Macaca mulatta: one gene and its partners. The protein of the gene in region 1 interacts with the protein of each later gene in a biochemical or structural test. Links are inferred from orthologs where the notes say so. Each region holds a gene or a part of one and is shown in the gene's direction. Other genes may lie near its edges. The genes, in order: MAPK9, MAPK8IP3, ELK1, ATF2 and JUNB.

What was found.
Region 2: the proteins of MAPK9 (region 1) and MAPK8IP3 form a complex in vitro, tested with the Homo sapiens proteins (2 studies listed by BioGRID). The link is inferred for Macaca mulatta from reciprocal best matches to the Homo sapiens genes MAPK9 and MAPK8IP3.
Region 3: of the proteins of MAPK9 (region 1) and ELK1, one has a biochemical effect on the other in vitro, tested with the Homo sapiens proteins (2 studies listed by BioGRID). The link is inferred for Macaca mulatta from reciprocal best matches to the Homo sapiens genes MAPK9 and ELK1.
Region 4: of the proteins of MAPK9 (region 1) and ATF2, one has a biochemical effect on the other in vitro, tested with the Homo sapiens proteins (4 studies listed by BioGRID and IntAct, with this or other methods). The link is inferred for Macaca mulatta from reciprocal best matches to the Homo sapiens genes MAPK9 and ATF2.
Region 5: the proteins of MAPK9 (region 1) and JUNB form a complex in vitro, tested with the Homo sapiens proteins (2 studies listed by BioGRID). The link is inferred for Macaca mulatta from reciprocal best matches to the Homo sapiens genes MAPK9 and JUNB.

Annotation. Positions count from the first base shown.
Region 1 is NC_133411.1:189,304,057-189,310,195, reverse strand, and holds the start of MAPK9 (mitogen-activated protein kinase 9), read left to right. Parts: upstream 1-1,882; 5' UTR 1,883-2,086; intron 2,087-6,139. UniProt on the Homo sapiens protein: Serine/threonine-protein kinase involved in various processes such as cell proliferation, differentiation, migration, transformation and programmed cell death.
Region 2 is NC_133425.1:2,991,233-2,996,361, forward strand, and holds the end of MAPK8IP3 (C-Jun-amino-terminal kinase-interacting protein 3), read left to right. Parts: coding exon 1-88; intron 89-162; coding exon 163-243; intron 244-342; coding exon 343-410; intron 411-589; coding exon 590-738; intron 739-1,104; coding exon 1,105-1,276; intron 1,277-1,346; coding exon 1,347-1,460; exon of another isoform or gene 1,461-1,503; intron 1,504-1,611; coding exon 1,612-1,650; intron 1,651-1,716; exon of another isoform or gene 1,717-1,740; coding exon 1,741-1,920; intron 1,921-2,018; coding exon 2,019-2,168; intron 2,169-2,244; coding exon 2,245-2,366; 3' UTR 2,367-3,889; downstream 3,890-5,129. Other genes in the region: NME3 (nucleoside diphosphate kinase 3), read right to left, coding at 4,178-4,295, 4,410-4,522, 4,597-4,698, 4,822-4,952, 5,036-5,081.
Region 3 is NC_133426.1:47,661,116-47,667,385, reverse strand, and holds the start of ELK1 (ETS domain-containing protein Elk-1), read left to right. Parts: upstream 1-2,420; coding exon 2,421-2,630; intron 2,631-4,528; coding exon 4,529-4,972; intron 4,973-5,681; coding exon 5,682-6,113; intron 6,114-6,270. UniProt on the Homo sapiens protein: Transcription factor that binds to purine-rich DNA sequences. Forms a ternary complex with SRF and the ETS and SRF motifs of the serum response element (SRE) on the promoter region of immediate early genes such as FOS and IER2.
Region 4 is NC_133417.1:80,007,028-80,011,719, reverse strand, and holds part of ATF2 (cyclic AMP-dependent transcription factor ATF-2), read left to right. Parts: intron 1-2,662; coding exon 2,663-2,889; 3' UTR 2,890-4,692. UniProt on the Homo sapiens protein: Transcriptional activator which regulates the transcription of various genes, including those involved in anti-apoptosis, cell growth, and DNA damage response.
Region 5 is NC_133424.1:13,344,927-13,350,716, forward strand, and holds JUNB (transcription factor JunB), read left to right. Parts: upstream 1-2,540; 5' UTR 2,541-2,841; coding exon 2,842-3,885; 3' UTR 3,886-4,382; downstream 4,383-5,790. UniProt on the Homo sapiens protein: Transcription factor involved in regulating gene activity following the primary growth factor response. Binds to the DNA sequence 5'-TGA[GC]TCA-3'.

The DNA of each region.
Region 1 (6,139 bases):
GGGATTACAAGTGTGAGCCACCGCGTAGCCTTCCTAATGAGGAGAAGCACCCATCAGTGCTCCTTGGTGGAACCTCAGCTCTGACAGCTAGGCTTTTACTCTTTTCCCATGATCCTTGATCCTGGCAATTTCTGGTTTCCTGTTTTCTCTCATGCACCTGAGGCAGGTGGCAGGTGAGTCTGAGGTAAGGACAGGTGTGGGCCCTCCTCAATGCAGGCCACACTGCGAGGTAGAATTTCAAGCCGCGATGAGCCATGCTGAGATTTAGCAAACTCCCTCTGGTGGCCAAGGAGGACACCATGCTGCATCCGTTCCTCTACCCCACCCCTCCTCTGAGGCTCTGGTGCCTCCAAGCGGCCTGGCCCAGCCCTCAGTGCCCTTGGAACCTGGGTCACAGGCTAGCTGCCCTCCCCAAAGTCTGCAACCACCCTTCACACCACCCAGCCCCTTGCCCTCCCCATCTGCAGAGTCCTGTTCCTTCTCCCAACTCTGGCCCTGGCCACTCCGTGGATACTGGTATTGTGTTTCTGCTGTTCTACCCCCCACTCACCATTTGTCAACCACTGTTCCCACTCTTCCAGTCCCCAAAGCCCGGCTCTCCGCGGTTTTCCCCATGTGCATAGCCTCGTGCCGCGCTTCCTGCTTCACTTTTCAACGTAGATCTGGCAACATCCCAAGTCCCGGCCTCTCCCATCCTGTACGACCCCCAGGCCGCTGGTACCTGATCCAGCCTCAAAAGCAACTCAAGAGTCAACGGGTCCCAGTCCCTAGGGGGCCCTGAGCAAGGGACTCCTCGCCCCGCCCCCCACCCCTCTCAGAGACTTGACTGAGCACCTCCCTTTTTTTTTTTTTCTGAGACAGAGTCTCACTCTGTCGCCCAGGTTGGAGTGCAATGGTGCAATCTCGGCTCACTGCAACCTCCGCCTCTCGGGTTTAAGTGATTCTCCTACCTCAGCCTCCCGAGTAGCTAGGATTACAGGCGCCCGCAACCACGCCCAGCTAATTGTTTCGTATTTTTAATAGGGACAGATTTCACCTGGTTAGCCAGGCTGGTCTCGAACTCCTGACCTCAGGTGATCCACCCGCCTCGACCTCCCAAAGTGCTGGGATTACAGGCGTGAGCCACCGCGCCCTGCCGCACCTCCCAATTTTTAAATGTTGTCAACTAAGTCACCCCGCCACCAAGCGCACTCCCCTCCTGCGTCACCGACCCATCGGGTAACCTGTCTACACACGGCCATCTCTTCGCACCCCCTCCCCTTCTCCAACCCGACTTCTGGCCTCACCCACACCCCCACAGACCCGTTCCTGCGGCGCCGCAGCGAGCAACCGAGTACAAGGCCAGCCCCGCCTCCCGGGCCCTAGCACGCCGGGCTCCCGGACGCCAGGCCGGCCTCTCCCCGCGATCGCCCCGGGCTCTCCCCGAAACGGGCGGCCTCCCGTGCTGCTCCAGGCCGCCTCGCCGCCACGAGCCTGCACCTGTAGGCGAGGCCCGGCTCCCCGCGGACCCCGCGGTGTGAGCCCCGCGCGCCTCCAGCCCGGTTCCCGGTCCTCCGGGCCACCCTCTCCCCCGAGCTGCGGCCCCCTCGCGCGGACAGCGGGCTCAGCTGGTGGGACGCGCAGTGCCTGCGTCTCCAGCTCACCGCGTGCGCGGCGCGCAACCGAGCGCCATGGCCGGTCGGCCGACGCCACTGAAAGGCCCGGGGGCGTCGAACCCACGGAACCCCGGCCCAGGACCTCGGGCGCCCGACCCGGCCCCCGGCCCCGCCCACACCACCTCCAGCGGCCCGCCCCCCAGGCGCCATTGGCCGCGCCTGCTCCGCTCTCCGCGCGCTGATTGGTCGGCCCGAGGGTCGGTCAGACCGGGCGCCGCGGCGGCGGCAGCGGCAGAGAAGGGAGCGGGACCGGAAGGGTCGCAGCGCCCCGGCGCCCCTCACACCCACTGCGGCGGCGGCGGCGGCGGGGCGGAGCGCGGCGGGGCGGGCCGGTGGCGGAGCCGGGGCCGCGGAGCCAGGAGTGACTAGCACGCAGCGCCGCCAGTCCGCCCGCCCGCCCTCTCCCCGTGGCGCGGCGGCGGGGAGGCGAGGTGAGCCCGGCGGGCGGGCTAGGCCTGGCGGCGGCTGCTCGGGCCGGGCCCGCGGGGAGGGGCGGCGGGGGAACCGCGCGGCCGGGGTTTCGGGGTGGGCCGGGGGCTGCGGGGCCCTGGCAGCCGCAGCCGTCGCCCCTGTGCTCGGGGATGCCGCAGGCGCCCCCTTCCGCCCGGCTGTCAGCGGCTCCGGGCTGCGGGCCTGCTCCCCGGCCTGGCCCGGCCGACCTGCCCGTGGGGTCTGCGGGCGCCATCCCTCGCGGAGGTGGGGCGAACAGCTGCACTCCTGCGCCGGGGGCCCAGGGGCCCGGGGTCGCGTCCCCGCGACCTTGACCAAGGCACTGACCCTCGCTCTGCCGCGGTTTTGCCTTCAGGAAGGTGGGGAAATGCCTCTTCTGGACAGGGTTGTTGTCAGGCTGTGTGAGTGTATGCAGACGCCTGGGCAGGACGCCGGTGAACATTTGTGGAAGATTGGGCAGGGTGCTGGCCCTTGCCGGTGTGAGTGGTGTAGGAACCCCCTCCTCATCCGCCCAGCCTCCCGCCTCCCCACGCACGCCTCCCTTGCCTTGTCATTGCACACTCAGTGTCCAGCAGTGCCAGAGGGGACCCAGCCCACATCCCTTACCACCACACCCCTCTCCCAGAAGACTGCTGCCCCAGTCCACTCATCTCGCCCGCCTTGAACATGCCAGCCCGCATTTGCCCCAGGACCTTTGTATTTGCTGTTTCCTCGTCTTTGGAGTTGTCTGTGATCTTGGCACAAGTAGCTCTTTCTGCTCCTTCCTCTGGCCAGATGTCTCGGTTTGGGTGAGGCCCTCCTCGACCACCCTCTTTCTTCCCTTAGTCATGCTATTTCATTATTTTAAAAATTTCCTTCCTAGCTCTTACCTGGTTTGAAACGTTTCTATTTATTTGCCTGTTTATTTTCTGTCTCCCCGACTAGGATGTAACTTTGTGAAAACAGGTAGCTGTCTGATTTGTCCACTGCTTTATCCCCAGTACTTAGAAAGCACACAGTAAGTATTCAGTAGTATCAGCTCAATGAATGAATGAATGATCAAAGAAATGGCCCAGTCTCCCTGTTGTCTCTGCTTTATCTGTTAATTTAGTGACTTCTGATTAACGTGTGAAACTTGTAAGCAGATGGAAGCTTGTTCTATTTTGTGAAACATTTTGGTGTCCTTGACCCCTTTAATTGCTAACCGTTGGAACAAGCTGTGATGTAAAATCTCACATTTTTATAATGGTTTAGCTCTAGCTTTCTTCCACACATGCAGGAGACATTTACTGAATTCTGCATTATCTAGGTCATGCTTTCTGCTAGGCCCTAGGGACACAAGGCAGATAGCAACAGGGTCCCTTTCCGAAGAGAGCCCAGGAGCCCAGTAGAGAAGGCAGGCATGCAGACACTTAGTTCCAGGACTGTGCAACCCTTGCTGTCGTGGAGGGGCTATGCCATGGAAATGTGGAGGAGGTGACAGGTGATGCTGGGGGGCCTTGAGGGTGATGAGAAATTTGCTAGGCAGGGAGAGGCAGAGGTATGAAGGAGCAGGGCCAGGTAAGGACCATAGCCCACTGTGGAGTTGAGAATCAGTCTGGAGGGCCAGGTGTAAGGGCACAGAGTCGTGGGGACTCTGAAGAACTGGAACCTTACCCAGCAGTTTTCTAGAAGAAGGTGGAATTTGACTAGTGCCATGGCTCACGCCTGTAATCTCAGACACTTTGGGAGGCTGATGTGGGAGGATCACTTCAGGCCAGGAGTTCAAGACCAGCCTGGGCAACAGTGAGATCCCTGTCTCTACAAAAAATTTTTGAAAATTAGCTAGGTGTGGTGGCATCCACCTGTAGTCCTAGCTACTTGGGAGTCTGAGGTGGAAGGATCCCATGAGCCCAGGATTTTGAGCCTGCAGTGAGCTATGATCGCACCACTGTGCTCCAGCCTGGGTGACAGAGCAAGACCCTGTCTCTAAAACAGAAGGCAGCACTCCACATTTGTTCCGATTTTTAAATGTTGGCAATAGCTAATTAATTTTTTTTTTTTTTTAAATGCTGTGAGCCAAGCCAAATACAGATTCATTCAGCTTGGTTGCAGATTGTCATCCTCCAGGAGTGGCTGTGTGGGAGGGAGGAGCTGTGAGGAGAGCAGGAAAGGTAGCCTAAGGCCAGGAGAGTCAGGCCCTGTTTGCCCAGGTGCCAGCCCAGATACTCATTTGATTGTAACTGGAGCCCTGTGGAAACGGAAGCTCAGGAGTTTGAGTAGTCTGCTTCTTAGCAAGCAGCTGGTGAGTGGAATCCGAACCCAGATCTCTCCCTAGATAAGGATTCTTTCCTGAGTCCCTCAGCTCTGAGTATTCTCTTTTGGCTTTTAACTTCTTCTGGAAGAATGACCACCAATCTATTTAATGTTTTCCTTGATTTAACTTTTAAATTTTTCTTCAAAAGGATCCTGCAGAGTTAAAAACAATACTATTTTTGCATAGACTTCTCTGGACAGCTTTGATTTTCCTGGTAATTTAATTTTCAGGGTGCCAGAACATTAATTTGTTCACAGACTAAAATCTGTTTATTTGGTTCCCTGAATAAACATTAGAGGGGATTCTTGAATGTGTCTAAGATAAAATATTTTTAATTTTCTGGATAAAGAAAAGGACCAGACAAACCAGTTAATAGTGACTAGACCAGTTTTCGTGAGACATAAAACAGAGACCAGATTTTTTTTCTTCTTAAGACTATTGATTTGCCAATAGGGCAACTATTTTTGGTCTACATACATACAGTAGTTATACCTGACACTTGGTTAGGAAGGTGCCATTTTTCCATAATTTTCCTTCAGAATAATTAATTCCTGATATTTTGTACTTGATTGTATGATCCGGTTTCAACATCATTTTTTAAATTTTAACTTTTATTATGGGAATTTTCAAACATATACAAACTAAACAGAATAGCGTTCTGCTTTAACAGTTATTAACTCCTGACCAATCTTGTTTCATCTCTAATGTTATCCTCTTACACACTTACCACCCATAATTATTTTCAAGGAATTCCTAAATATCATGTCATTTCATTCATTATTTTTCAGGATGCTAATTACACAGTGGGTGCCCAGGAAATGTTTGTTAAAGACAAAGCTAAACGGGAGAATACATGTGGTAGGGTAGCTCGGAGCAGTGGTTCAGATCAGGACTTTGAGTCAGACTCCCAGTGGGTCTGCTGCTTATCTGGGTGATGTGCAGAAGCGATCGGGCTCATCTGTAAAACAGACGGGCACAACCTCAGGGTGCTCGCTAGGTATGCAGTAGTTATACAGACGGGCACAACCTCAGGGTGCTCGGTAGGTATGCAGTAGTTATACAGACGGGCACAACCTCAGAGTGCTCGGTAGGTATGCAGTAGTTATACAGACGGGCACAACCTCAGGGTGCTCGGTAGGTATGCAGTAGTTATACAGATGGGCACAACCTCAGGGTGCTCGGTAGGTATGCAGTAGTTATACAGACAGGCACAACCTCAGGGTGCTCGGTAGGTATGCAGTAGTTATACAGCACACTGCGGTGGGTCTCTAAAGGTCCTGACTCTTTTAAAGGTGAAAAAGTAATAATTCCTTCATATCATCAAATAACTAGTCAATCTTCAAATTTCCAGCTGCCCCATGAATTTTAAGTTTCCTTAATAGTTTGAAGGTAGAGCACGATAAGGTCCATACATTGTTGATTGGTTGATACGTCTTTTAAGTTTCTCTTCATCCATAGATCCCCCTCCTATTTCTTTGTTTTCTTGGTAGTTTATTTGTTGAAGCAATCAAGTTGTTCTGTAGCATTTCCACAGTTGGTATTTGATTGATTGCATCTCTGCAGTGTAATTTAATGTGTTTCTCTGTAATCTCTGTCAGTTAGTGATTGGATCTAGACAAGGCTTGGTCAGATTTAGGGTACATTCCTCCATCAAGATGCCGTCCTAAGTGGGCTCTGCACTTCTTATCTAGAGGTAACCTGAGGCTCTCTGCCCGTCTGTTTTACAGATGAGCCCGATCGTTTCTGCACATCACCCAGA
Region 2 (5,129 bases), on another chromosome or scaffold:
CGCAACCAGAGCCGGAGCCCAGCGGGGACCCCGCAGGAGCAGGCAGCAGTGCTGCCCCCACCATGTGGCTGGGAGCCCAGAACGGCTGGTAGGAAGGGCCCAGGGCAAGGTGGAGGGAGGGTCCCGGGTGAGTCCCTCGCCCATTGCCACTTCTTTCTACAGGCTCTACGTGCACTCGGCTGTGGCCAACTGGAAGAAGTGCCTGCACTCCATCAAGCTGAAGGACTCCGTGCTGAGCCTGGTGTGGGTGACCCAGGCTGAGGGCCGGGCGTCACGGGGGAACAGGGCGGAGGGGGCCTGCACAGCCTGGCCCAAACCAGGCTCACCGCATTCCTGTTTCAGGCATGTCAAAGGCCGTGTGCTGGTGGCTCTGGCGGACGGGACCCTGGCCATCTTCCACCGTGGTGAAGGTGGGGCCTGGCAGCACGGGGTGTGTGGGTGGCAGCTGATGGCCCTGGCAGTGTTTAGCCAAGGGACTCCCGGGGTTCCAGGCCTCTCCTTAGCCTGGCAGTGGGTATCTCAACCCCTGATATCCCGAGCAGAGGTGGGGCCCAGCCAGGCCTGAGCAGGTGTTCGGGGCTCCCTCCAGATGGCCAGTGGGATCTGAGCAACTATCACCTGATGGACCTGGGCCACCCGCACCACTCCATCCGCTGCATGGCTGTTGTGTACGACCGCGTGTGGTGTGGCTACAAGAACAAGGTGCACGTCATCCAGCCCAAGACCATGCAGATTGAGGCGAGTGCTGGCCAGGGCCCCCAGGGAGGGGAAGAGGCTCCTGCCAGCCAGCAGCTCTCCCGCACCTTCCATACGGAAGTCCACAAAGCCCCATGTGGGTCTCACCCTCCCGGCACCTTCCATACGGAAGTCCACAAAGCCCCATGTGGGTCTCACCCTCCCGGCACCTTCCATACGGAAGTCCACAAAGCCCCATGTGGGTCTCACCCTCCCTATACTGCCTATGAGTCAGGCTCCAACAGGCACAAAGCAGGCGCAAAGAAGATCTGAGGGGGCTATAGGTGGCCCTGGGGCTGTGGCAGGTTTGGGGCTCCCCACTTCCTCTCCTCTCCCCAGCCCTGTTGATGGGCAACCATGACTCCACAGAAGTCATTTGACGCCCACCCGCGGCGGGAGAGCCAGGTGCGGCAGCTGGCGTGGATCGGCGATGGCGTATGGGTGTCCATCCGCCTGGACTCCACCCTGCGGCTCTACCACGCACACACGCACCAGCACCTACAGGACGTGGACATTGAGCCCTACGTCAGCAAGATGCTGGGTGAGGGGCCATGCCAGGTGGGGTGGCGGGGGGCTCAAGGCCAGCCGCCCTGACCACTCTCCCCCCACAGGCACCGGCAAACTGGGTTTCTCCTTCGTGCGCATCACAGCCCTGCTTGTCGCGGGCAGCCGGCTCTGGGTGGGCACCGGCAACGGAGTGGTCATCTCCATCCCCCTGACAGAGAGTGAGTGGCATGCACCCCTGCAGGGGCAGTGGTGCTGCCAGAGGTGTCCATGGGTTCCCGGGGGTGGCTCTGCAGGGCCACATGGGAGGGTGCCTCGCTGCCCCTTCGCTGACCACTCTCCTCTTCTCCCATGCTCCTCCTGTGTCCCCAGCTGTGGTCCTGCACCGAGGCCAGCTCCTGGGGCTCCGAGGTAAGCCCAGCCACCTCCTGTCCCCCCACGGAGCCTCTCCCACCCTCCATCTGTATGCGGGCTCAGCGCCTCTGGGTTCTCTCCCTGCAGCCAATAAGACATCCCCCACCTCTGGGGAGGGCGCCCGTCCTGGGGGCATCATCCACGTGTACGGCGATGACAGCAGTGACAGGGCGGCCAGCAGCTTCATCCCTTACTGTTCCATGGCCCAGGCCCAGCTCTGCTTCCACGGGCACCGCGATGCTGTGAAGTTCTTTGTCTCGGTGCCAGGTGAGGCTGGGCCCCTCCTGCCATCCACATCCCCTGCACGCCAGTGGTTGCCGCCTCCCCCAGGAGGCCACTGTCCTGAATCGCTTCTGCCATCCCAGGGAATGTGCTGGCCACCTTGAACGGGAGTGTGCTGGACAGCCCAGCTGAGGGCCCTGGGCCAGCTGCCCCTGCCTCGGAGGCCGAGGGTCAGAAGCTGCGGAACGTGCTGGTGCTGAGCGGCGGGGAGGGCTACATCGACTTCCGCATTGGTGAGCGGGGCCCAGGGACGGGACTGAGGTTGGGCGCGGGGGGAGCCTGGCCCTCACTCTGCTGCCTTGCCTGCAGGAGACGGAGAGGACGACGAGACGGAGGAGGGCACAGGGGACATAAGCCAGGTGAAGCCCGTGCTGTCCAAGGCGGAGCGCAGTCACATCATCGTGTGGCAGGTGTCCTACACCCCCGAGTGAGGCCACTGCCCTGCCTGGCCCGACCTGTACATAGGACCCCCGACCACCTGACCCCCGCCTGCCCTGCGGGGTAGCCAGCCAGGCGCCGCCACCCCTCTTCTAACCTCTCAACCTGCAGCTTTCACCTGAGTCTGGTCCCCTCCAGCGGGCAGGGAGTGCGGGGATGCCCATCACCCCTCCGGCGGGCAGGGAGTGCGGGGATGCCAGTCAGCTGGGAGGAGAAGGGAGGGGTGCTTCCACCCGAGGGGAAGATGCTCTCGGGACAGTTTCCCGGGCGGCTCCTGGCCAGCTTCCAGCCCAGAGTCCTCAAGTCCAGGGCACCTTGGGCCCAGCGCAGGCAGGACCCAAGGTGGCCCTGGATCCACCCTGGGCCTCCTACTCCCCAGCACCCCTGGAGGAGGCAGGGGCTCCCCACCGCCGAGGCTGCCTGCCCTGGGCCCACCTCTGCATGCTGCTCATGGGGCCACCCTGCCTCCCGGGCCCTCACTCTGCCTAGGGGAGCTGGGCCAGGCACTAGCCTTTGCCCAGGGAGGTGGGCCTCGGGCTGCCCAGGTGCCTGCACCCCAGCCGGCCTTCTCTGGGGCCTCCCCGTCCTCAAGCCTCTATCCTCTGTCTGTCCCCCCCTCCGGCTGTCCCCTGCCCAGGGAGCTGGCATGAAAGCACGAGGCCCAGCTCCCTCGGGCAGCTGCTTGAGAAGAGAGACTGCTACCCCATCCTGCCCACGCGGGCAGGCTCTCGCCGTGTCCCCCCAGGCTCTGCCTGGGCAGAAGACTCACCTTGGAGGAGTGGGCCTTGGAGTCCTGTCCCTCCCAGAAGCCCCCAGGGTGGGATTTCTCAGGCTGCCAGGGCAGGCCCAGGCCTCAGGAAGAAGGGGAGGCCCCTGGCCTCTCCGGGTTCAGTCCTAGGACGCAGGCTCAGCCTCAGGTTGATGGGGGATAATGTGCTCCTGGGGCCTGCCTCCTGCACGGGGCTCCACGGAGCCCAGCTCCCAGACACGCTACTAAGTGCCTAGGGTTGCCCGCTGTGGCCTGCTCCCCGGGAGCAAGAGGCCACCAAGCAGAGGCCCATGGGGCTGAGGATGGAGCCGCCCCCAGCCGACTCCAAGCCCGTAGCGGGCAGAGGCCACCCTGGACTGCTCTCCCTGTCCAGCCGGGCCTCGCTGGCCTACTCCTACCTTCCAGGCCCACTGCACTCCTGTCTGGGAGGCCCTGATGAGGGCAGCCCAGCCCCCGCACCCACCCCCAACCAGAGAAGCACAGATCTTGGGGAGCTGCCCCACAAGCCCCGCTGGCCACCGTGGGCTGCAGCCACTGCGCTGCTGGCTTCTCCCCACCATCCCTGCCACCTCCACTGTGATGTATGTCTGCTCCCTCGTCTGTTCCCCCAGGATCTCGAAGTGACTCCGGGCTGAGCAGTGGTGCGGCTGGGGGAGGGGTGACGATTCTCCTCAGGCTTTAGCCCTGCAAGCAAACCCACATATCTGCTCTGTATGTAATAAACGTCTGTTTCTGGACCCAAACCGACACGAAAACGAGGACTTCACTTTATTATAAAAAGAAACGTTGGACCATGTTGGGCTGGGCACCAGGACAGTGTTCTGGCACGTTTCCAGGCGAGCCGCGCAGGCTCCTGGAGCAGCTCCTCGGGCAGAAAGCCCTGTACGCCAGGGATTGGAGAGGCCCGCGCCACCCTCGATGCAACGTCCTGACAGGTGGATGTTCCAAGTGCTGCGGGGTGGGGCCAGAAGCCCGGCCACCTGGGCCCTGGAGGAGGCTGGGGTGTCAGAGCCTCTGCGAGGCGCACCTGCCGGGCTACTCATACAGCCAGTGCCCGGCGCTGTCCTCCCAGCACAGGAGCTCGTCTGTGCGGAACCAGAGCGCGATCTCGCGGCGGGCACTCTCCACCGAGTCGCTGCCGTGAATCAAGTTCCTGAACGGAAGAGGCGCGCGTGAGCGCGGGAAAGAGAGCTCCGGCACGGGTCCCACGAGGGCCGAATTGGGGGAGGCCGGACGGGGCTGGGCCCGTCCCCGGGGCGAGCCTTACTTGCCAACCTCGATGCAGAAATCCCCGCGGATGGTGCCGGGCGGGGCGTCGGCCGGGTTCGTGGCCCCGATGAGCGCCCGCGAGGTGCGCACCACGTCCAGCCCCTGCCATACCTGTGCGGGGGACGGGGGCGGTATCACGCAGGGGTGGGGTCCCGGGGCCGTCCGCCCGCTTCCCGGGCACTCACCATGGCCACCACCGGCCCGGAGGCCATGTACTTGACCACGCGGCCGTAGAACGGGCGTTCACGCAGCTCGGCGTAGTGCTCGCGCAGCAGCTCCTCGGAGGCCTGCGGAAGGGTCAGGCCGCCTGCGCCCGCACCCGGCACCCAGGCGTCCCCAGGTCCCCAGGTCCCCGCCCCCCTTCCCCCCACACCGCGCCCCCGCTCGCCCACCGCGCCCCGCGCCCCCACCTGCACCAGCTTCAGCGCCACCAACTTGAAGCCCTTCCTCTCGAAGCGCCGCACGATCTCGCCCACCAGCCGCCGCTGCACGCCGTCCGGCTTCACGGCCAGGAAGGTGCGCTCGTGTGCGCCGGTGCAAGCTGCGGGGCAGGCGGGGACGTGGCGTCAGACCGGCCCAGCACCGGCCGCCCACCCCCCGCCCGCGCCGCTCCGCTCCGCTCACCGGCGGGGAAGAGGTTGGCGAAGATAGTCAGCACCAGGCAGATCATGATGGCGGTGCGGGCGCGGGCTCCGCGGGGCGGGGCGGTGGCGCCCGG
Region 3 (6,270 bases), on another chromosome or scaffold:
TTCAAATCAGGTTTTGCTGCCAAAAGAGGTATAAGAAGCTTTCTGCTTTTAGAGCATTTTGGATTTTGGAATAGCAGATAAGGGACTATGAACAAATCAGAAACTAATATTTAGAGCTTATCATATACCTCAGGCATATAATATTTAATCTATACAATATCTTCATGAACTAGGTATTGTTATCCCCATTTTAGCAATGGGCATATCATTATCCCTGTTTTACACATGAGAAAATTGAGGTACAAAGAGGTTAAAGAATATCAGCCAAGCGTGGTGCCTCATGCCTATAATCCTAGTACTTTAGGAGGCCAGGGAGAGAGGATTGCTTGAGCCTGGGAGTTCAAGAACAGCCTGGGCAACGTAGTGAGACCCCATTTCTAAAAAGAAAAGAAAAAGAATATGCACAGGGTCACACAGCTAATAAGTGGCAGAACCAGGATTCAAACACTGGCAGTCTGGCCCTAGTGCCTGGGCAGTTGTCCAGCAGGTCATATTGCCTCTGCTTAGAACAGTGCCTGATGTGTATTAAGCTCTCAGTAGATGTTAATTATTGCTGTCATCGAGAAAGAGAACATTCAGAGCCGAGCATGGTGTCTCACACCTGTAATCCCAGCACTTTGGAAGGTCAAGGTGGGAGGCGGGTGGATCACTTGAGGTCAGGAGTTCAAGACCAGCCTGGCCAACATGGTGAAACCATGTCTCTACTAAAAATACAATAATTAGCCGGTCGTGGTGGTGGGTACCTGTAATCCCAGCTATGCGGGAAGCTGAGGCACGAGAATCACTTGAACCTGGGAGGCAGAGGTTGCAGTGAGTCAAGATTGTGCCACTACGCTGCTCTCCAGCCTGGGCGACAGAGAGAGACTCCATCTCAAAAAAAAAAAAAACAAAGAGAACATTCAGGGATAGTAACAGGACAGAGAGATCAGGCGTTCAGTTTTAGGACGGCTTCATAAAGGAAAGGACCTTCAAGGTGGAACTTGAAAGATGAGAAAGACTGCTAGGCAGAAGAAGGAAGCCCCACGTGGAGTGAGCAGCCTTTGCAAGGCTCTGGCAAAAAAAACCTGAAAAACTTAACATTTATATGGTAGAATTTATATGGTATGTAGAAGATACAGATAACACTCAAATAAGGGGGATGGAACTAATTTTCTATTCTTGCTGTAATAAATTATCACAAATTTAGCTGCTTAAAATAACATATTTGTGGCTGGGTGCAATGGCTCACGCCTGTAATCCCAGCACTTTGGGAGGCCAAGGCAGGTGGATCACAAGATCGGGAGTTCGAGACCATCCTGCCTAACACAGTGAAACCCCGTCTCTATTAAAAATACAAAAAAAACTAGCCAGGCGTGGTGACGGGCACCTGTAGTCCCAGCTACTCGGGAGGCTGAGGCAGGAGAATGGCGTGAACCCGGGAGGTGGAGCTTGCAGTGAGCCAAAATGGCGCCACTGCACTCCAGCCTGGGTGACAGAGCGAGACTCCGTCTCAAAAAAAAAAATTTTTTTTTTAAATAATGAGTTATATTTATAGCTGTTATACCTGTTGACCTGAGGAGAATTTTGAGAGTCCACAGAAAAAAAAAAAAATTGTTATAGGTCAGAAGTCCCATACTGGTCTCAGTGGGCTGAAATCAAGGTATTGGCAGGGTTGTGTTCCTTCTGGAGGCTCTAGGGGAAAATCCATTTCCTGCTCATTCAAGTTGTTGGCAGAATCCAATTCCTTGAGGTCGTAGGACTGAATTCCCTGTTTCTTTACTGTCTATCAGCTGATGGCCATTCCCAGCTTTAAGAGGCTACCCACAGTCCTTGGCTCTGAGCCCCCTTCCTCCATCTTCAAAGCCAACAATGGCAGGTTGAGTCCCTCTCACATTTTGAATCTCCCCTGCCTCTTCTGTCATCACATCTCTGAGCTACCTTTCTTTCTTCATCATCTGCTTTTCAGAGCTCATATGATTAGATTGAATTTAATCAAATAATCCAGAAATAATCTCCCTGTCTTAAGGTTTGTAACCTTAATTTCATCTGCAAAGTTCTTTTCTGCTACGTAGTATAAATAACATACAGGTTCCAAGGATTAGGATGTGGAACAGGGGTGGCATCATCTGGCCTACCACAGTCTGCCCTCTGACCGCCACAGATTCACATTTGTCCCACAGGCAAAATACATTCACACCATCCTAAGATACTCATGAGTTGTATCCCATCACAGGGAGCATCCCAAGCTGGATTGGGGAGCTAGAAGTTAGTCTGGGAATGTTTAGGGAATGATGGTAGGGTTTGAGGACAGAGATGGAGAAAAGATGACAAAAAAAGGAATCCTCCTCCCCCTGACCTCTGCCCCTCCTATGTCCACAGCCTCTCAACTCAGCTGTTTGCCCTCCAGGTACCCCTGGGATGGCGTGAGCACTCCCCCAGCGATGGACCCATCTGTGACGCTGTGGCAGTTTCTGCTGCAGCTGCTGAGAGAGCAAGGCAATGGCCACATCATCTCCTGGACTTCACGGGATGGTGGTGAATTCAAGCTGGTGGATGCAGAGGAGGTGGCCCGGCTGTGGGGGCTACGCAAGAACAAGACCAACATGAATTACGACAAGCTCAGCCGGGCCTTGCGGTACTACTATGACAAGGTACAGTCTCTCAGACCAGGGCTGGGACCCCCCCTAACATTTATGTCAGAGATTTTATTTTGTTTTGATTGCCATAGCTATGACTTTGAAAACAATGTTAAAATTTATCAGTTTTTAACCCATCCATTGGTACTGTCAGGCCAGTATTGGGCCCCTAAGCACTATCTCACCTACTTTCTTGTCTTACTGCTTTGGCAAAAACCATCATTGCATTATTAATACTGACTCCTACTCCCACTCTGAGATCCCCACAGTGATGCTGCCCTGCCATGCGCATTTCATTTTCGTGTCATATTCCTATAGCCAACATTTTGAAAACATGGTTAATAATGGCTGGTCCTCATTCTGTCCTCTGGAAGCCCTAGACCAGTGCTGGGCTTCCCTAGTTATTTCATAATCTTCTCTTATTCCAGAATATTTCATATTCCTAGAATCAAAACCTCCCTGACAGTATTATACCAACTTTTGCTTACTTTGTCCTCTGGGACCCCAACATTTTTAACCAATTATTTTCTTATTCCTTAAGCTAAAACCTCTGTAACAACATGTTTAGTACCAGCTTCCACACCCTATCTTCTTAAATTCCCAGAGCAGCACTGGTCTACCCCAATATTTATATCAATTGTTTTCATTATCTTATTCCTACAGCTAAAATTTAAAATTTCCCCCATTCTGCCCTCTCAGACCCCCAGGCCACTGCTGGGTTTCCCCTCCCCCCAATATTTATACAAGTTATTTCATCTTCTTATTCCTCCTGCTGAAACTTCCAAACAATATTCATGAATATCCCTTTTCGTTCCTCTTTTGAGAAACACGGGCCCACCCTGTGACATATCTGACCAGCACTAAGACTTCCGCAGAATGCCCTAGTGCTCCCACACTCCTCTTGCCCGTGCCCCCAAGAACAGCCCTGGACCTATGCTGCATACCCTTCATAGTTTATGGCATTTATTCCACTTTCATATTTTATTCCTTGAGCTCAACCCTCCAGAACAATATTAGTAATGAGGCTCCCTCACTGTGCCCTCTGGGAACGCTAGGTCATCTCTGAGACCCACCAGACCTGAAAAACCCCAAACATGCTCTGTGACCCACCCAAGCCAGCCTTGATATAGGCCCTCTCCCAATATTTATACCAGTATTTTTAATATTCTTGTCTAATTGCTGTTAGTTACTTCATTTTCTTACCGCTTTAGCTTCAACCTCCACAGTGGTATTAATAATGAGGCCTCCTCGCCCTCTCCTCTGCAGTGACCTTGCCCTATTCCACTTCTGTGTCATTAGCTTCAAATAATCCTCTGTATTAATAATTCATCGCCCCATCCATCTATATTAATTTACTTTCTTCCAACATTTATATCAGTTACTTCATTTTCTTGTCTTACTGCATTTGCTAGTCTCCAAAACTGTGTCCTGACAGTCACCCACAAGGCCTGGCCTGTGAACCCCTGGTTCTTGGAGCCAAGAAGACTTGCTCCCACACCTACTACCTTCCCTTCACGGGCCCCATTGTGAAGAGGAGCCACAGTGTGGAGGGGGTGGGAAAATCAGATAGATAGACCTGGAGAGTGACAGAGGGAGGCTTGGAAAGGGGTGGATGGGAAGGGGCTTAAAGAAAGAATTGTTGTGGAGAGAAGAGAGAAAGGGGAGGAACTAGGGAGGGGTATAGATAAGGGGAATCTAGGGGGAGAGGAAAGAGGTAGAAACCAACGGGAGAGGAAATGGGCTGATAGGCTGAGAGGGGAACTTACAGAGGAGGGACAGGAAAGCCAGAGAGGGGCAAGTGGGAAGAGAGCCACTAGGAGAAGAGAAACACCACTCCACCCCAACATACACACACCCTGCCTCCAGCCTGCCCCTTTCCTCTCAGGCCCTCTGTTCCTCTCCTCCCTTTCTAGAACATCATCCGCAAGGTGAGCGGCCAGAAGTTCGTCTACAAGTTTGTGTCCTATCCTGAGGTCGCAGGGTGCTCCACTGAGGACTGCCCGCCCCAGCCAGAGGTGTCTGTTACCTCCGCCATGCCAAATGTGGCCCCTGCTGCTGTACATGCCACCCCAGGGGACACTGCCTCTGGAAAGCCAGGCACACCCAAGGGTGCAGGAATGGCAGGCCCGGGTGGTTTGGCACGCAGCAGCCGGAACGAGTACATGCGTTCGGGCCTCTATTCCACCTTCACCATCCAGTCTCTGCAGCCACAGCCACCCCCTCATCCTCGGCCTGCTGTGGTGCTCCCCAATGCAGCTCCTGCAGGAGCAGCAGCGCCCCCCTCGGGGAGCAGGAGCACCAGTCCAAGCCCCTTGGAGGCCTGCCTGGAGGCTGAGGAAGCCGGCTTGCCTCTGCAGGTAAGGACTGGAATATAGAAATCCAGTAAGAGGAGGCAGTAAAGAGGACGGATGTGTAATCCCCGGATGATGAGGGAGGCTGGTAGAAGAGACATAGTGCTCCTGTTAAAGGAGATAATGGTGGAAGGAAGAACACAGACATCCTCTTAGAAGGAGGGATGGGACAGAGAGCTACACAAACCCTGAGACAGAAAGGGGAGAATACTGTGCTACAGTTAGTAGCTGCCGAACATGTAGGTGCCTGAAATATATTTGTTTAATGCACTAGTTCTCACACTCTAGCGCTCATCAGAATCACCTGTAGGGCTTGTTAAACCACAGATTGCCAGGCACACCCCCAGAGTTTCTGAATATGTGGGGCTGGGGAGGGGCCCAATAATTTGTATTTTTAACTTGTTACCAAATGAGGCAGATGTTGCTGGTTCAGAGGAAGGTAAATTTTTGAGAACCACTGTTTTAATGAATGAGGATGATATCCCTCAGATTCCCACCTGCTTCAGGTTGTCTTACCCCAAGTCCCCTGTCCCATAGGAGGACTTGCCCCAGAGGAAGCCCTACTTCCTTGATGAAGTCCTATGTCCTGTTGGAGAACCTGCTCTGATGTCCCCAGTACCAAGTGCCACTTTCCCGGGGAAATCACTGGGTAGCCCACAGGAGAATCCTGTGGCCCCAACAATCCTTACCCTCTTTGTACCTGCTCCTCTCCCAGGTCATCCTGACTCCGCCCGAGGCCCCAAACCTGAAATCGGAAGAGCTGAATGTGGAGCCAGGTTTGGGCCGGGCTTTGCCCCCAGAAGTGAAAGTGGAAGGGCCCAAGGAAGAGTTGGAAGTTGCCAGGGAGAGAGGGTTTGTGCCGGAAACTACCAAGGCCGAGCCAGAAGTCCCTCCACAGGAGGGCGTGCCAGCCCGGCTGCCCGCGGTTGTTATGGACACCGCAGGGCAGGCGGGCGGCCACGTGGCTTCCAGCCCTGAGATCTCCCAGCCACAAAAGGGCCGGAAGCCCCGGGACCTAGAGCTTCCACTCAGCCCAAGCCTGCTAGGTGGGCCAGGACCCGAACGGACCCCAGGATCGGGAACTGGCTCCGGCCTCCAGGCGCCTGGGCCGGCGCTAACTCCATCCCTACTTCCTACACATACATTGGTGAGTGCCTGGGGAGGTGTGGGATGGGTGGGTGCCAACCCCAATGGGACTGGCATGTGGCAGGTGACTAACGGGAATCAGAGGAGGGCGAATGTGGTTGTCCCTGAAGAGGGTGGAGCCTTCGAGTGTGATTGACTGGGCTGACGCTGGACTGGAG
Region 4 (4,692 bases), on another chromosome or scaffold:
AGAGTTCAAGGCTGCAGTGAGCTGTGATTGTGCCATAATACTCCAGCCTGGGTGACAGGGAGACCCTATCTCAAATAAGAAAAAGAAACTTGTGGACATAGGTAGAGAACTTTCAAGATTACGGAATTGCCAAACAGCTGGTTTCTTTTAGCTTAGGTAGAGCTAGAAGTGGCTCTTTGAGTACACCATGGCTTTCTGTATCTCTCTAGTGCTTGTGATTACACCAGTCATTTTCTCCCCTCACCTAGAACTGGACATAGGTGCAAATATATCACATTGCTTTTACTAATTCTGAAAGTCTGTAGGTAAGCATTCATCCTTTATAATTTACTGTTTTCATTTTGAGTTGTTGCCTCCAGTATGTATTTACATTTCCTTATACCACTCATCACAGATCAGCCTCTTTATTTTTAAAAGCTGGTGTATCCCTTGAACTCAACATTCAGGGAAACGTCAGCCTGTTGTTCTTTTAAAGAATAGTGGTGGGCCGGGCGTGGTGGCTCAAGCCTGTAATCCCAGCACTTTGGGAGGCCGAGATGGGCGGATCACGAGGTCAGGAGATGGAGACCATGCTGGCTAACACGGTGAAACCCCGTCTCTACTAAAAGATACAAAAAATTAGCCGGGCGAGGTGGCGGGCGCCTGTAATCCCAGTTACTCGGGAGGCTGAGGCAGGAGAATGGCGTGAACCCGGGAGGCGGAGCTTGCAGTGAGCTGAGATCCGGCCACTGCACTCCAGCCTGGGTGACAGCGAGACTCCATCTCAAAAAAAAAAAAAAAAAAGAATAGTGGTGAAATAAACAAATAGAGCTTTTTAGTATTCCCTCCAGTTAAACTGTCATTGCCAGTGTTTTGTTTTCTTTGTACATGTAATGATTGGCTATTTTAATATCTGAATTATAAATATTTTATAACATTCATTATTGCTTGATCAGAAAAGTAGAGGGGAAGGGGGGCATTAGTTGAGAAACTACCCATTGGGTGCTATGTTCACTATTTCAGTGATAGGTTCAGTAGAAGCCCAAACTTCTATTGCACAATATACCCGTGTAACACACCTGCATATATACCATCTGAATCTATAATTTTTTAAGTATTCATTCCATTTTGTATGATTTTTAAAGGAATACTACTTCTGGTGGTTGGTTTTGTTGTTGTTGTTTTATTGTACCTTGAGGTCAAGTATCCAGGGGTATGGTTTTGATTTATAGCATGTTATAGAGAAGATGGGGTTCCATCTCATTAATGTATTTTAAAACCTGCTTTTCAAAAATGCATGGATTTGAGGCAGATGTTGAAAAATTCTGTAAAAACTTTATTTCAGAAAATGCACAAGATTAATAATTTTTTTTTAGCTAAAGTTGACACTCTCAGGTATCCCCCTCTGCATCTTCTACATTGCAAATCATAGGCTAAGTCCTGCTTCATAAGATATCCACAATATTTTTTACTAATTGACTTTCAGAATGGGCATCTGGCCATCAGTAAGCAGGCCAATACACATTCTCAGATTTGATTTTAAAAGCCTACTTATTGTCACTTCTGAACACTGAATAAAAAAAAGTTTTAATGCCAAGTGAAAAAAGCAAGGTTCCAAAGAGTACATCCAGTGTGATACTGTTTTTAAAATGTTTCAGAATAAACAGCTGAACTATGTTGCTTAGGGATACATACCTATGTGTTAAAACTACAAAGGAAAAACAAGAGAATGGTTAAAGAAATGTCAGAGTGGTGATTACCTTTGGTGAGGACAGGAACCTCCAGGAAGCAGAAGTGTTAATGGCAGTGTTCTCTCTTAGGTTGGCGGCACGGTTTCCAGGTGTTCATGTTATCATTGTTCCTCATAACTTACATATACTATAAATATTTGTGTGTTATCTATATCAAATTTTTACTAAATGAAATTACTGTATTCTGTTCTATTAAAATAAGGGTGTAAGACTTGTTCAGGTCTAAGTATTTGCAGATTTATTTTTGTAAATACTTAGAATGCCTTTTCCTGAGTATCTTTTCAGTTGCAATGTTTAGAGTTTTGTATGGATTTTTACTTGAATCCCAATTTATTCATGCAACTATAACAGCTGGTGGCATTTAGATTCTAAATATTGCTTATTCTCATATGTATGCATCATTAGAATCAGGTGTTATAATCATTCATGGCTGCAATAGATGGAAAATCAGCCAGAATAAATACAGTTCTGGAGAATGCAGAGGGAATAATTTGAAGATGTAATTTGTATGTAAGACTTCATTTTGTTTATGCATGTGGTTATAAATTTTTATCTTATAATAAGAATGACATGTAGGCCAACCAGACTGAGTTTGTTAAATGTGATACTTATATTTGATTGTATCTGTAAGAGCCTGTCTTCCAAACTCTACCTCATTTTCTTTCTTTAACACTATTTAGCAAATATTTCTTCAACTCTATTCCATAAGGCAGTGGGCACCCAGATGTTTCCATATGCATGGTTGTGCCTTCTTTTGACCTATTGCAGGTAAAATTGCCTACTTCATGACCTATATCAATTCCTGTAATACCAACTTGTCTAATCAGTTTTGTAAGATGCTTTCTAACTTTTTACTCCGTATATTGCCTCAGCATAATGGTGCATTCTTACAGATTTTAGGAAAATGAATAATTTTTCTTTTTTTCACCCAGCTGCTGATAAAGATGATAGTTCAGAAGACATTTCAGTGCCGAGTAGTCCACATACAGAAGCTATACAGCATAGTTCGGTCAGCACATCCAATGGAGTCAGTTCAACCTCCAAGGCAGAAGCTGTAGCCACTTCAGTCCTCACCCAGATGGCGGACCAGAGTACAGAGCCTGCTCTTTCACAGATCGTTATGGCTCCTTCCTCCCAGTCACAGCCCTCAGGAAGTTGATTAAAAACCTGCAGTACAACAGTTTTAGATACTCATTAGTGACTTCAAAGGGAAATCAAGGAAAGACCAGTTTCCATTTATGCGAAATCTGTGGTTGTAAATTTTTTTTTTTTTACTTGAAATTAAATTTGGCTCTAAAGTTGGTGTAGCAGCAGTTGATCAGACTGAAAAACAGTTTTTAGTCTCTGGAAAAAGACTGATTTTGCTTTTTTTATAAATATTAGTAGATTTATTAATTTTTCTGTGCTCAATGTGTAAATTGTATTATAATTCATTGTGGTTTATTTCACTTTTAATTTGTTGGTGTTTTAATAAATGGGGGTGTTACTGAATCTTTCTTCCCACTTCCATTTCTTTTGACCACCCCTTAACCCTCAACTGTGATGGTAGTAGTATTATCATTTATACCAAAGTTTTGCATAGTCCCTGTTGACTTTGTAATGTTAACGGAGTCATAAAAGCACTAGGCAAGAGAAAGATAGAAATTTGCTTTTAATCTTTTTGCCTTTTATTTTGCACATTATGCAAAAGGAAAAACATTAAAGAACACTTTTTTTTAAGTGAGTGAAAACATGGTAAAGACATACAGTGCTTTTATGCACATTGTTAAGCTAAATCAAGGTCATTTATAATCATTTTCCTTTTTTATTTAAGGTTTTAAGTAAACAAATTTTAGAATTTTCAGCATTTCAAAAATGATTTTATTTTTCAAGTCTTAAATTCAATATTTTACACCTGTGTTTTGAGGCTAAGAAATATGAAATTATATAATGTATGATACAGGGTTATCAAATATCTAATAATTTTTGAAATTAGCTCTTGTTTTTCATTTTTTTATTGTTGTTTTTACAGATTTCAGGTTACAAACTGCAAAGTTTATGCATAATTAAGTATGGTATGGTTGCCAGAAAAGCCTAAAATTACTACTTAGAAAATTTAAAACTGTTTACCCCCATTGTCTTGTACTTGCGAGCTAACTTGTACTTATTCTTGTGAAAGCACTGTCATCTTTTAGTAGCAAATTTTGATAATGTTTCTCGTGGAAAAAAAATCAGTATCTATCTTTAGAACAATGTAATTATAATGTGGGAAGCGTGCATAAATGAGAGAGAGAGAGTGTGTGTGTCTGTGTATGTGTGTGCGCGTGTGTGTGTGTGTGTGTGTGTGTGTCTTTCAATAGTTTATGCCAGCAATCTTTGCTTGAATGTTTAACGATGCCTTCAGTGTGATGCTGGCCAATAGATGATTGCAGTTTAAAATGTCATTATTGTGCAGGCTTGGATAACTAACATTCCATGATGTAGCTTGTTTCTGATGAGATGATTGTAGGTACACTTTTCTCATTATCCAATCATCTGTGGGATACTTAGTTTTCTAATGTGCCATTATCTATTTTTATTCTGCAGTTATGTTCAAAATACAGTACATATTTTAAAATAGAATAAATTGTTAAACATAAAATTTTAAAAGTAGTAGATGTGCGTAAGAAAACTTTGTAAAATAGTTATGAGTCCTACCCAGTAGCAACTTCTGGCATTCAAGCAGGATTCCACTATGTAAATATCTGTAATGCATTTATAATAAGTTGTGTAGTTTGTCCTGCATCCATACTACACTATTTGCTAAAGTCTCAGTGCCATCTCCTAATGAGACTGACATTTTAAAAGTCTGTATGGAATATCCTTGATAATTCAAGGAAATATCCCACCTGCCTAAGTTCCAAACTGGGAAACATTCAGATTATATAAATGACATTTCAGGACTTTAAGTATGAAGATAATGGGAATTTTATTGTTTAGCTTA
Region 5 (5,790 bases), on another chromosome or scaffold:
TCAAGCAAGGGGAAGAAGGGAGGGGGCATTTAGGGGTCACAGGGACCCTCCAAGGACGGGACGCCCCCAGCTTCTGCTGGGACCTTCCTCCAGCAAGGCCACTGCACTGCTGGACTTCCCCCTGCCCCCACATAGCTCAGTTTCTTTTTCGCCTCTTTCGTTTTCCTTCTCTTTCCCACACTTGGTGAGATCTAGGCTGCCCCAGAAAGGCTGTTTAACCCCTATCCCTTAGCCTCTTTCTACCCTAAAGAAGAGACAGGCTCTCTTCATCCTCCAGAAGACAGAGGCCTGGGAAGCTGAGAGAGAGAGAGACTAGGCTTCTCACCTCTTGGTCTAGTGGGTTCACACACAAACTGCTCGGAAGTCCCACCTTAAGTCTAACTGGAAGCCTCACCATCTGCACCTCGCCGCAGCCCTTCCCCGGGAAGGGGCTCTGGGTTCCCTTATATTATCCCCTTAGATTTTCAGGTCTTCTCTGACTGGGGGAGGGAAGCCCTCAGATGAAGGAGCCACTCTAGGGAAGGAGGGGGGGCTCCCTCTAGGTATTCTGGATGATGGATGGATGGGACCCGCAGACTCAAACGAGAGTGGGGCCCCTGACCCACATGAGTGAGTGCGGGGTGTTGGGGAAGGAGCCCCAGACCTCCTGGCAGAAGGGAAGGGCACCCCACCCGAGGGAGGAGGCAGCCGCCGTTCCAGCCCGCCCAGGCGCCGGGGGCGCCTCGAGGCATCGGCCCGCCCTCTCCGCGCCCCGTCGGGCCGGGGGCGAAGTCCGACCCAGGCCCGCGGGCAGGCGGGGACCTGCCGGGCTGGGTTGGGCCAGGCCCGGCCTGGCAGGACGCAGCCCCAGAGCGGCGGGGCGGGGCGGGGCTGGGCCAGGCGGCCGTGGGGGCCCCGGGGGCGGCGGTCGGGGCTGGTCGGGACTAGCAGTCCGGGGGCCCAGGCGCGCCCTGGGTCCTGGCAGATACTCGGGCTCCCCACTTCTGGCTCTGGGCCCCAGGACAGCGCTGGTCCCACCTCTTCCTGTGCCCTAATATGGGCGGCGGGGAGACACTCCGGGGGCCGCCCCGCCCTCAGTCCTGCCTGCGGACTCCCGCCTGTTGCCATGGCGACCAGGCCCCGCTCCTCGACTGCGTCCCCCGCCGTCGGGCCAATGGAACAGTCCCATGTTGCCTGCCTCCGCGGTCCCCTGCAGGCGCCGCGGGCGGAACCATTGCTTGAGGGGAGAGGATGGTGGCTGGAGGCTTCCGTGGCTGGGCAGGCTCCACGCACCCGGGCCTCCGCGGGGGCTCGCACGCCCAGGTTCCTCTTCCGAGGCGCAGGATGCGGTGGGACCCAGGGCGGGGCGCACGGTCCCGTAGGATCCAAGTGACGGAGACAGGGCCGGGCTCCTTCCCCCGGGGCTGTTGCCACACTTCCTGCCTCGGCGCTCTTTCCCCAGCCTGTTTCTAAGGAAGGGAGTGGGGTTGGGCGACCGCGCCCCAGCCGTCGGGCTGGGTCCAGGCTCCAGGAGCCGACACGGTGTCGGGCAAAGCCCAGGGTCAATAGGGGAGAGTTTTAGGATGGGGGACAGAGAATACAGATGCCTAGGAGGTTACCCACGAGGGGGAGCACCAGTCGTGGAAGATCCAGCAGTCCTGGTGCGCAGGACCCTCAAAGCCCCCTCCTCGCATGTCAACTGAGTACCCTCTTATTGTCTTCTCTGCTCCGAAGATGTGTCCGGACCCTTCTGACTCTCTCCTTCATCCGGGCTTCGCAGATGACCCCAGTGGTCACCAGTTTCTGGCAGACTTGTCTCCATCTTCTACCCTGCATATTTTACCTGCCTCAGTGTACCGCAGGACGCTTACTCGCTTTCTGCATACCTAGATTTCCCCTAATTCCTCCTTCCCAATTACGGGAGAGCCCTCAGACCTTCCCATGGGCTCCTGGACCCTACTCATTTCTTTCAATTTAATGGGTCGTGCAGCTCCGCCCACTCACCCCTTTTGATCTCTCCCCTCCTCCATCCTGTGAAAATTCCAGCCCCGCATCCTTCTATGCTCGGGACCCCCAGTCAATTCCTGGGTCAGGTGTCTCCTTACCCCTCCCGATTTACCGTGCTTAACCCTCATTCCTGCTTTTTGGGGTCTCCCAATGAATTGTCCTACCCCTCTCGTATTCTGGGTACCTCAGGGGTTTCTTCGCACACCCTGAGATCCTCAACCTACTTGCTGCGTACCAGGTCCTGGTATTTGTCCCAGTGGACTTCAATGAAATCATCCTCCTCCCTGAAACCCCTCACTCATGTGCCTGGGCCCCCAGGCCTCCTTCCATGCGTACCCCGGGGTCCTTTGAGCCCCTCCCCCTGCAGGCCCGCCGAGCCACCCGGCCCGTGGCCGCTGTTTACAAGGACACGCGCTTCCTGACAGTGACGCGAGCCGCCTCCTCCCCTTCCCCACGCTCGAAGAGGGGGGCGCGGGGGCCCGGCTTCGGCGACGGCCAATCGGAGCGCACTTCCGTGGCTGACTAGCGCGGTATAAAGGCGTGTGGCTCAGGCTGAGCGGCTGGGACCTTGAGAGCGGCCAGGCCAGCTTCGGAGCCAGCAGGGAGCTGGGAGCTGGGAGCTGGGGGAAACGACGCCAGGAAAGCTATCGCGCCGGAGAGGGCGACGGGGGCTCGGGAAGCCTGACAGATCTTTTGCGCACAGCTGCCGGCTGGCTGCTCCCCGCCCGCGCCAGCCCCCGAGAACGCGCGACCAGGCACCCAGTCCGGCCACCGCAGCGGAGAGCTCGCCGCTCGCTGCAGCGAGGCCCGGGGCGGCCCCGCAGGGACCCTCCCCAGACCGCCTGGGCCGCCCGGATGTGCACTAAAATGGAACAGCCCTTCTACCACGACGACTCATACACAGCTACGGGATACGGCCGGGCCCCTGGTGGCCTCTCTCTACACGACTACAAACTCCTGAAACCGAGCCTGGCGGTCAACCTGGCCGACCCCTACCGGAGTCTCAAAGCGCCTGGGGCTCGGGGACCCGGCCCAGAGGGCGGCGGTGGCGGCAGCTACTTTTCTGGTCAGGGCTCGGACACCGGCGCGTCTCTCAAGCTCGCCTCTTCGGAGCTGGAACGCCTGATCGTCCCCAACAGCAACGGCGTGATCACGACGACGCCTACACCCCCGGGACAGTACTTTTACCCCCGCGGGGGTGGCAGCGGTGGAGGTGCGGGGGGCGCAGGGGGCGGCGTCACCGAGGAGCAGGAGGGCTTCGCCGACGGCTTTGTCAAAGCCCTGGACGATCTGCACAAGATGAACCACGTGACACCCCCCAACGTGTCCCTGGGCGCTAGCGGGGGGCCCCCGGCTGGGCCCGGGGGCGTCTACGCCGGCCCGGAGCCACCTCCCGTTTACACCAACCTCAGCAGCTACTCCCCAGCCTCTGCGTCCTCGGGAGGCGCCGGGGCTGCCGTCGGGACCGGGAGCTCATACCCGACGGCCACCATCAGCTACCTCCCACACGCGCCACCCTTCGCCGGTGGCCACCCGGCGCAGCTGGGCTTGGGCCGCAGCGCCTCCACCTTTAAGGAAGAACCGCAGACCGTGCCGGAGGCGCGCAGCCGGGACGCCACGCCGCCGGTGTCCCCCATCAACATGGAAGACCAAGAGCGCATCAAAGTGGAGCGCAAGCGGCTGCGGAACCGGCTGGCGGCCACCAAGTGCCGGAAGCGGAAGCTGGAGCGCATCGCGCGCCTGGAGGACAAGGTGAAGACGCTCAAGGCCGAGAACGCGGGGCTGTCGAGTACCGCCGGCCTCCTCCGGGAGCAGGTGGCCCAGCTCAAACAGAAGGTCATGACCCACGTCAGCAACGGCTGTCAGCTGCTGCTTGGGGTCAAGGGACACGCCTTCTGAGCGCCCCCTGTCCCCTTACGGACACCCCCTCGCTTGGACGGCTGGGCGCACGTCTCCCACTGGGGTCCAGGGAGCAGGCGGTGGGCACCCATCCTGGGACCTGGGGGCGCCGCAAACCACACTGAACTCCCGCCCTGCGCCCAGTCCTTCCACCTCGACGTTTACAAGCCCCCCCTTCCACATTTTTTTGTATGTTTTTTTTCTGCTGGAAACAGACTCGATTCATATTGAATATAATATATTTGTGTATTTAACAGGGAGGGGAGGAGGGGGCGATCGCGGCGGAGCTGGCCCCGCCGCCCGGTACTCAAGCCCGCGGGGACATTGGGAAGGGGACCCCCGCCCCCTGCCCTCCCCTCTCTGCAACGTACTGTGGAAAAGAAACACGCACTTAGTCTCTAAAGAGTTTATTTTAAGACGTGTTTGTGTTTGTGTGTGTGTTTGTTCTTTTTATTGAATCTATTTAAGTAAAAAAAAAAAAATTTGTTCTTTATTAATTTCTGTTGTCTTTTTTTCCAAGCTGGGAGGGCGGAGGGAAAAAAAAGCACTGGTGTGCCCCCAGCTCAGTGCTGTTGGTGGCTCGGTCCTGTATGTGTCCCCCTCGTCGGCTCTGCGCAGGCATCTTGTGGTCCCAACCCGGGAGTCCCACCCTTCCCGCGTCCCCGAATCTCCAGGGTTGGATGGTTGGGGCGCGGGACGCAGTCCAGGGACACAGTAGCTGAAGGCAGGGCGCTGGGGGCGAGACGCGGAGCGCGCAGGCGCGGCCCCGCCCAGCAGTGCGCGCCGGGGCTTTCCCCGCTGACGCAGCGGAAGCGTTGCCCATACAAGGACCGATTCTGCCCAGTGACGCGACCGCGGTCTCTGGGCAGATTCCGGGAATCCCCTCCCCCGCTCTGCCGGGCAGGGCCGCAGCGCCGGGAAGGGGGCCGGGATTTTCCCGGGCAGGCGGCTGCCCGGGCACGGAAAGCCCCAGGCCTGGGTCCAGAGGGCCCGCGGTGGGCGGGCAGCGCTCCTGGGCCCCGGGAGCCACCTCTGTGCTACCTTCAAGACACTGGCGCCTGGGCCCCGCCGCGCCCACGCCCCCTCCGTCTGACCTGACCGGGGCAGAGGGTTGCTGCTGCTTGGGCGGCTTTGCCGACACCCTCCCCTCTACCCCCACCCCCGCCAGGAAGGGCGGCGCCCGCCTGCCAGCTTCCCCTCCCGGGTGCCAGGCCAGGAGCGGGGCGACTGCCAGGTCTGGTTCTGCCGGGGCGGCTGCTCGGGCCGCTGGGCGCCGCCACCGCCCTCGCGCTGGGCTCCCTCCCGCGCAGCTGGGACACTTGGGGGTGGGGGTGCCGGTGCGGGTGCTGCTGGCACGCCTGGAGGGAGTCTGGCCGGCTTCGGGGCTGTAAGCCCCCAGAGCAGTGGAGAAAAACAGGTAGAGAAACTAGACAGGCAGTAAGGTGAGTGGAACAGACACTTCATCAATTCATTTGTGCAATACCTAGAACAACTAGACCCTGGAGACACAGTCTGGACCCCTCCAGACAAGACAATAAATAAACAAGCAAGCATGGTTCTTCAGAGGTGGTGGTAAGTGCTAGTAAGAGGGAAAAAAAAAACCACACACACACACACACACACAGGTCAAGGTGGCAGTGATGGGGCAGAGAGGAAAGTTGCTTTGTAAAATGGAGTGGGAACATGGACCTTTAACGGGGCGACTTTTTCTTTTTTATGTTTTAGAGACCGGTCTTGCCCTGTTGCCCAGGTTGGAGTGCAGTGGTGCAATCATAGCTAACTGCAGCCTAGACCTTCTGTGCTCAAGCAGTTCCTCCCACTTCAGCTTCCCAACTAGCTAGTACAGGCACACACCACTGTGCCTGGCTAATTTTGTTTACTTTTGTAGAGATGGGGTCTGCTATG